Arabidopsis thaliana: one gene and its partner. The protein of the gene in region 2 interacts with the protein of the main gene of each other region in a pairwise test. Each region holds a gene or a part of one and is shown on either strand. Other genes may lie near its edges.

The links. Proteins that work in one complex are often made in the same cells at the same time.
Region 1: the proteins of AT2G22930 (region 2) and AT1G52550 interact in a protein complementation assay, tested with the Arabidopsis thaliana proteins (one large-scale study listed by BioGRID).

What each region holds. Positions count from the first base shown.
Region 1 is NC_003070.9:19,571,921-19,576,070, forward strand, and holds AT1G52550 (uncharacterized protein), read right to left. Parts: upstream 2,140-4,150; 5' UTR 2,080-2,139; coding exon 1,836-2,079; intron 1,417-1,835; coding exon 1,265-1,416; 3' UTR 835-1,264; downstream 1-834. Other genes in the region: AT1G52560 (HSP20-like chaperones superfamily protein), read right to left, coding at 2,863-3,281, 3,567-3,846.
Region 2 is NC_003071.7:9,757,781-9,762,070, reverse strand, and holds AT2G22930 (UDP-Glycosyltransferase superfamily protein), read right to left. Parts: upstream 2,477-4,290; 5' UTR 2,306-2,476; coding exon 977-2,305; 3' UTR 831-976; downstream 1-830. Other genes in the region: AT2G22940 (uncharacterized protein), read left to right, coding at 325-416.

The DNA.
Region 1 (4,150 bases), on a different chromosome or scaffold from region 2:
TCAAATTCAGCTCCTTTAGCTCTACACGCTTCCTCGTTGATGCAGAGAGAGTAAAGGTAACGCCTTTTTCCTGAAGAATGTAACAGCAAAGCAAGAAAAACGAAACTCCTTTGATGCTTAATGAGAGAGAGAGTCGCTTTTACTTCTGTAAGAAGAGAAACAAATTTTCTTAGAATATTCTTCAATGCTTAACCCCTTTTTGAATGTGGTTGTGTGTGTTTAGCTGTTTTAATTTGAAAAAAATTATACACTTTATTAAACTATTAGTGGGAATGATTGTGCATATCCACACATAGTCACATATAGTATTTATATAGTAATAATTTCATCAAAAGGTATTGTTTTTTGAATTTCAAAGATTTCCTTTTCATGGCCTGTTGATGACACATGACAACTAATCAAAGTTTCCTAATCACACACCTCACCTTGGTGAATCTGTACTTACAAAATCTTGCAATTTTTAATACATACAAAAGTTCAAATACTAGTTTTTTTTATTGTGTATGAAGAAGATCTCTAGATATGGAAATTTATTTGCTATAATCAGAACAAATATAAATTAAACATAGCATAAAATCTTAATTTAGATAGATTGTTAAATTACTCAGTGTGGTCAGAACAAAATGTTAGGCTCTTATCATAAATTTCTGTTTCTAAACTTACTACCAGCCTTTAACCAAAACAGGTCCAACTAATCATGAGCTGGTTAATTCATTGTCCCAGTATTGAATAAGGTTTACCTAAATCCAGTTATTTCTTTTTTCATATCATGAATAAACAACCACTGTTTTAAATATAAATCAAATAATAATTAAATACAACTTTGGAAATATTATATTATATAGAGAGGCCCAATAAAAGAGTATGTTGAAGCCCAAACAAGTTATATAACATATCTAAAGGCCCATTTTATACAACAAACATTCAAATCAAAGAAACGGTGCGGTTTACCGTTTGGCTGAATCAAGCACACACCAAACACATCTAGTCATTTACAATCTGAAACAGCTTTCAATAAACAATGATATTGATTTGGCATTTTGACTTAAATGCAAACTACTTTAGTTTCATCACAGTAGAGTAATCTCTATAGCTCTAAGCTAGAGATATCGTAAGAAGAGAACAATCTAGTTTCTAGTATAAAACTGTAGTCTGACAAGAAATTTGCTTTACTTGGAAGAATATTTCCTCTGTATATATACACAAACGTGTAGAGGAGTTTTCATCAATCATCATCATCATCACCACACCAATCTAACTAATACTATTTGAAGCGTGAACCCTTCTTCCCTTTACCATTACCTTTGCTGCCTCTTCCTTGTAAAGCCGAAGCCCAAAAGAAGAGAGAGATCCAAATTAGTACTGAAAGAAAGATCTTTACACGGTCTTGAATCATCGACGCTACTCCCACAAGACCTACACAAAATGTGATACCAAACAACAACTATGAATCCAAATTGTTAAGAAGATTGCTCTCGTATTGCAACCAATGACTAAACCTGTAGGGAAAAGAAAATGGTGGAACTTTTGGAAGACATTCACAAGTTGTAAAAGGAGGAGATTTATAAATCCTTAATGCTTAACAAGAGTAAAAGTCTATAAATTGTCACAAAGATCAAAACTTTAGCAATGAACAGTAATCGATCTTGAGGACTAAGATTAACATCTTTATCTACGAATCAATAGCAGTTAAACCACCTTCATTCTCCTAATTCGAATTCCGTAATGCAATTTCATCGAATTAGGAAAGATTGAAAAATAGAATTGGCAGTAAACAAAATCAGAACTCAGAGTTGAAACATTGAAGTTTTAAGGGTAAGAAGGGAAAGACGAACTTGTGAGCTCAGTCGTGTTTTTAGGCGGAGGTGGGTCGGGACTAGGCGGCGTTGGAGGGCCGAGAGGAGCGACCGCGATGCGTCGTACAGGTTTTGGAGTGGGGACGAGGAAAAGGGTCTGAGAAGGAAGTGGAGACGACCGGAACGGTGAAAAGAACGACGGAGATGGAAGAGGATGGTTTTTACGGCAGCGATGGAGGTAAAGGTTGGAGCTTGAAGTCGTGTTGGCAAACGCCGTCGCCATTTTCTTCACAAGGTATTTTGGACCTTGTTTTGTTTTCTCATTATTTTAATTTTAATTTATGTATACATTATCAAAAAAATGTTTTTGGTTTTTTCCTTCTTAATACCAAACTAAAAGAAGGAAAATGAAATATTTTCTATAATTTTCCACAAACTATTGAAATATCATGCATTTTTGTTTAACATAAATATTGTGTTTTCTTGACGACAAAAAAAAAAAATATTGTGTTTTCTTTAAAGAAACTGAACTCTGACAATACACTAAAATACTGTACTTATTAATAAATAAATAATTTAATGTATAACATAACTTGTCTATAAAGAAAAATATTTCATAGTATAGTATAGCAAATCCACAATTATTAATACAAAATTTACAAATAAAATTTTGATATGAGGTACAAAAATGGACTTCTTGTTTAATATATCAACATTTTTGTGTTCATGACGTGAATTAGCAATTTACTCCATTGAGCCATTCGCATAGAAAACATAAAAGGGACACAACATTTGCTGCTTCTTTTAATTAATTTTGGCTTCTTTCTTTTGCGAAAATTAACTATGCTGAATAACAATTTATTCCATTCTCATTACAAACACAAAACTGGTTCATTCTTTGCTTGTTCAATTAGTCTATAATGTATTTTCTAGCTTCTTTTGTTTGCGCAAATGAACTAAGTTAATTAGCAACTTAATAACTGATTCCATTCGCATAAACATAAAAAAGGTACAACATTAATTTGCTTAGTCCATCAAAGAACACAAAAACGACACCGTATCTCTTCTACTCAACAGAAATCTCCTGAACATTCTTCTTTGGCTTCTCCGTCCTAGGAATCACAAGATTAAGCACACCATTCTTGAGCTCCGCCTTAATGTCCTCAACCTTAGCATCATCAGGCAACGATAAGCTCGTGTTGTAGTAACCATAACTCTTTGAAGACCAGTACTCGTCTTCCTCAGGTGAGCCTTTCTCTTCCTCCGCCTTGTGATCTCCTTTAATCGTCAAGATTCCATCATTTACCGTGATCTTCACGTCTTCTTTGGTTAGCCCTGGAACCTCGTATCTGAGCTTGTAACAGTCGTCTTGCTCTTTCACTTGACCCATTAGTTGGAATGGATTCACGTTGAAGTTGTCGAAAATTCTGTTCATATTCTCTGTTGCTTGTATCAGAGTATTTCCTATAGTCGGAGGAAAGAACTCTGTTTTAAGAAGAAGAAAAAATTCAATTCAAGCAAAAATAGAGGTTTACATTAATTATGTTTCATGAGATTTAATGCAATGAAAATGTAAATTTAAAATTTGATGTATTTTTATGATTCTAGAATTTCAAATTTTCTTCTTAATTTTTCTTTTATGGGATATATTTTACACTTAAATGTTGAATTTTTTTTATATAATTTATTTCGAAAATATTATTATTGTGACACTATTGAAATTTTCTGCTAAATAGGTATATCAATAATGAACTAAAATGACAAACGTACCATTTAGGGTGGGAGTGAAGTAGCCATGATCGTCGGTGTTACGCCAGAGGCTTTTTCGGCCACGTCTCCGGGGGAAATTCTGTCGAGGAGATTTCTTCTCAGACACACTCACTTCTGTGTTCATCTTATCCTCTTGTTCACCAGCCGAAGTAGCCATGAATCTGTTTAGCTTCATTGGATTATGTCGATTTCCGACCAAACCTCTTTCACAAGATTGACCCATCAAACTAGGAGACAGTTTTTGTTGAAGGTTTCTCAAAGCCAGACGAGCTAGAGCCATTGTTTTCAAATCGGTAAATTTCTTAATTTTTGTCTTCTTGTCTTCTTTTTTGTGAGTTTGCAAGAAAAAGGCAAGAAGTGTTTGGTTTATAAAGATGGGATTAGGGTTTATGCTAAAAGGTTGGTTTCTAAGAGGTGTTAGAAGTTTCTAAGAGTTTCTGGTTCATTTGGGAACATAAAACAGAGATGCTTCTTGTTTCTTCTACAGCCCTTTTTCTAGATAATCACAACAAGGTTATTTTATTATCAATATTTGTTTTCTTTGAATAGTTAAAACGAAGAAAATCATGACACAAGACCAACCG
Region 2 (4,290 bases):
TTTACATATGTAGAAAAATCATCTAACTGTTGTATATAAAGATTTTGTTTTCTAAAAAACGAGAAGATAATGTAGTCCATAAAAAATGCCTATAAATTAGTTAGAGATGAAGAAAAAGTATAAATTTGATGGAACACATATTTCCTCCCCCATTTTTTTCGATCGTTAATTTAGTTTTACCAAAATTAAAAGTCACTACTCTTTTCTAAATAAATATGTAACTAATAGATTGTTTATTGTCCACAACTTATAAGAACTTGTAATCTAATCCACTTATTTCCCAAAAACCGTTTGAACTCACAACTCCTGCCCATCTCCCTAAAGGTAAAAACCGTCTTTCCAACCCACCAAGAATGGCAAATCCACAAGCCAATTCAATAATTGGCATATCCACATATTTTGGACCAACAAATTAAATGGCATTTTGAACAATATAATCTCAAGATTTTACAAGGTCTTAAAAACATTTTAGAATCTTTGTAAGAACCTTTCAAAACTTTTAAACAATTTGTAAAATCTATAAAAGGTTTTTAGAAGGTTAAGGTTGTGATAAGATTTTAAAGGTTTTTAAAATTAACTTCAGAAAGTATTATAAATTGTTTGAAAACTTACATTTGTATAACTTGATAGCAACAATGACAAGTTCTTGTGTACTTTTGCATCATACTCATCCATCTCGTACTCCATGGTGTCACTAGTGGAAAAATAAAAAAAAATCCATGCTTCCAAGGTGGGACATTTACTCATTTGTAAAATTACAAGAATTATAAGCTCTTCCAAACTAACCACTTTGGACCCTTATTTCTCATTCAAATTAAATTCGATTTTGACATAGAAATGCACTTTTTATAGTGTTCAAAGTCATTGGAAATTTAGCCGGACTTATGAGAACTCTTGCAATTTATTTGTCTCCAATCATACAAAACAAATAATTTCAGAATTAATTACCAAAATAAGTGAGAATCAACAACATTGGTCAAATCAAATACTCTTGCAATTCCTCTACAAATTTATCCACGTAACCAGTTAATAATCCATGACTACCAAGAGTCTCCTTCAATTTGGCGTGGTTACTCCTCACTAGCTTTCCGAGGTCGCTATCTTTATCCATCACAGACTTGATCGCATCGCTCAAGCTCTCCTTTGAAAACCATCCTGTTTTTTCTCTCGACACTTCTACAGACACCTTGAATTCCTCGGTCATCAATCTTGTGAAGAGAACTTGATCACCTAAAAATGGAAGCAAAACCATTTGACAATCAGTCATAAGACACTCCCATATTGTTCCCGGACCACAATGGTTCACAAAGCAGCCTATTGACGGATGATCCAATATCAATGGTTGTTGCACCCATCCTCCCCAAACCACACCACGCCCTTTCACCCGCTCCTGGAACCCTTCTGGTAACCCTTCTTCGACCGTCGATGATCCTCTCGGTGGCTTTACCGCTATAAGAAACGGTAAACCTGTCAGCTCCATCCCTAAGCAGAGTTCTTGGAATTGATCCTTTTCAAGAACGATCTGGCTACCAAGTGCACAAAACACCACTGACCTCGGTGGGAACCTGCTCAGAAAATGACTCAACTGTTCTTCTAGTGGTTTACTTGTGTCTTGCTCAGGGAGCATTGGACCAGTCAAGAGAACCTTCTTATGGTATTGACTTGATATATAGTCGCAGAATTTACCTTCGATTTCATTACATGTCCTCAATGCAATGATGTCACAGCTCTTAAAACCTGTAGTGATCTGATGATAAAGTCTCTTGTAGAAGATAGATAAGGTTGCTAAGGCATGAGCATCGTTTTCACGGTACAACACCTTTGATGAAGGATAACCTGGTGGGGGAACACCTAATACACCACCAGGGGCAAATGTATAAGCTATTGTTGTTGCAGATACTATCATGTAACTCACACTCTTGATCATATGCTCTTTGGCAATTTCTGGAATCCAATGAGCAAAATCAAAAAAGATCAAGTCCGGTCTCAGAGCACGAACCGCAGCTTCAACCTGATCGCGAGTGAGATCCAAGGCTTCCGACAGTAAGTTGTCCATCGAGATTGAGATATCCGAGGTTGTCTCAGCACCAGCAGGGAGGCCATTGACATGAGGGATTGTGAGAGGGTGAAAGACAATACTGTCTGGGAACAGATTGTGATGTTCCAACTGTTTTTGGGCTTTCTTAGGTAGCAAGAAAGTGATTTGATGACCTTTCTCAGCTAGTTTGTTTGCAAGATGTAGAAAAGGAATCATATGACCAAAAGCAAACCAGGGAAACATAAAAGCATGGAACGTTGGCTCCATTTCCTTTCCCAAATTGTAAAAAACGAAAACAAGATAAAACAAGTATTCAAGAACTCAAAATGAAGTATCTGTTTTTTTTTTCCTTGGTCTCTTGCGTTAATAGTTGTGCACTAAAACGCCCTTATTATGATCTTGGAGATTGGTTAGGTGAAGCACATGTGTCAGAAGAAAATAAAATAGCTAATTATAAGTAGAATAACTACAAAAAACAAGTCATCAAGAGAACAAATCCAATTATTCACTACAAGAAATAAGTCACAAGACAGCCAAGACGAACAGGTGTCAGAAAAAAATGATATTAATTAAGAGAATATCGTGAAGACGAATTCCACTAAAATCGAGCTAATAATAATTAATTACTCCCTTGTATATAAAAAATGATTTTTCTGAGATTTTATTCTTGTATCAAAAAGATTGATTCCTTATAGTATATTTAAAGCAGATTTTACTTTTTTTTTTTAAAAACAAAACTGAATTTAAAAGTATATTTAAGGGTGCATTTTTATTTTTATTTTACTTTTGAATAGAAGCGGAGTAAAAAACTACTAAAAATTACAAGATTTTACACAAATAATTAATTAATGCACCATTTATTATTTCCTTAATTTTGGTGAAAAACTCAGGAAATCATTTTTCTGAAGGAGTATAATTTTCTTTTGGTTTTATCGGTTTCATAAGATTATAAGAAGCATGTACTTCTTTGTTTTGTTTTTCCTTCGTCCATTTAAGGGTGTTTCAGTGAAGAAACATTTATCGGTTTCACAAGAAGCATTTACTTCTTAATACCATAAACATCTAACAAACGAGAACAAAACAAAAGAAAGTTAATCTATCGAAAAGGACAGCGTCATTTACTCATTTAACACGTTGATTGATTCACCTAATCCCTCACTAACCTATCCCACCTAATCAGTCTCAAAGTTCATTTAGAGGTGTTTTTTTTGCTTTTATTCTTCTTCCAAAAACACGTTAATTAATTTTTGCGGGGACGATTTATTTGTTAAAAATAGTAATTTATAAATATTTAATGATTATGTGTTCTATATAAAATTTTATAATAGTATTATTTTATAAGAAATTTAAATTTATAGTTTACAATTATTATTAAGCAATGGTATACCACAAAATAATTTTTATTTATACAATCGTATTTAAATCAGGTTGATTCGATATGTCTAGTTATCACTGTGTTAAAAAATAATATATGAGAGTTTAACTCTTATTGAAATGTAGTTAATGATATTTAAAATTTTTATTAATTTAAAAGTGTCCTGCCATATAACACGTCTCGCATTATAATTTGTCATGTGCTCTCTTTTTTAATATGTTCAAATATTCATAATATTATTAAAATTTGATTGATTTTAATATGTCCCATATTGGAGAAACAGGTTAATGATATTTTAAAATTTATATTAATGTTGCTTCAAAACCAGTTCCGTTAAGCCATCATAAAACCTCGTCCCTCAATATAATTTTTCCCGTGTAATTTTTTATTTTTATATGTTCATAATATTATAAACTTTCTATTGCTTCCAAATATATCTATCTTAATATTTATGGTAAAATGAAACAGTTTAACTAAAACCTAAACTAACCCGTATACAAACTTGTAAATTTTAATGCTTGTTAAGTGAAGGTTCATGCTCATTTGGACTTGGATTTACTTTGATCTTATTTATAATGTGACTTTTGAATCATTGTCTAAACATTATAGATGATGTGTGACGTTGAACATATTTTTTCATTAATTGGGTAATATAGTACCGTTTTTAAAATTGTGAATCATAATATATACAGAAAAATTGGGGTTTTTGGAAGTTTATATACTATATGATTCTTCAAAGTAGTTAAAAAAATATCAAACAAATATGAAAAGAGAATCATAAATTTAAATCAGAACCAAATCTTCTACATATTGTTATTATAAAATATAGAAACATAATTAGTAGACACAATCCAATTTTGGTAATATTTGTATCCGA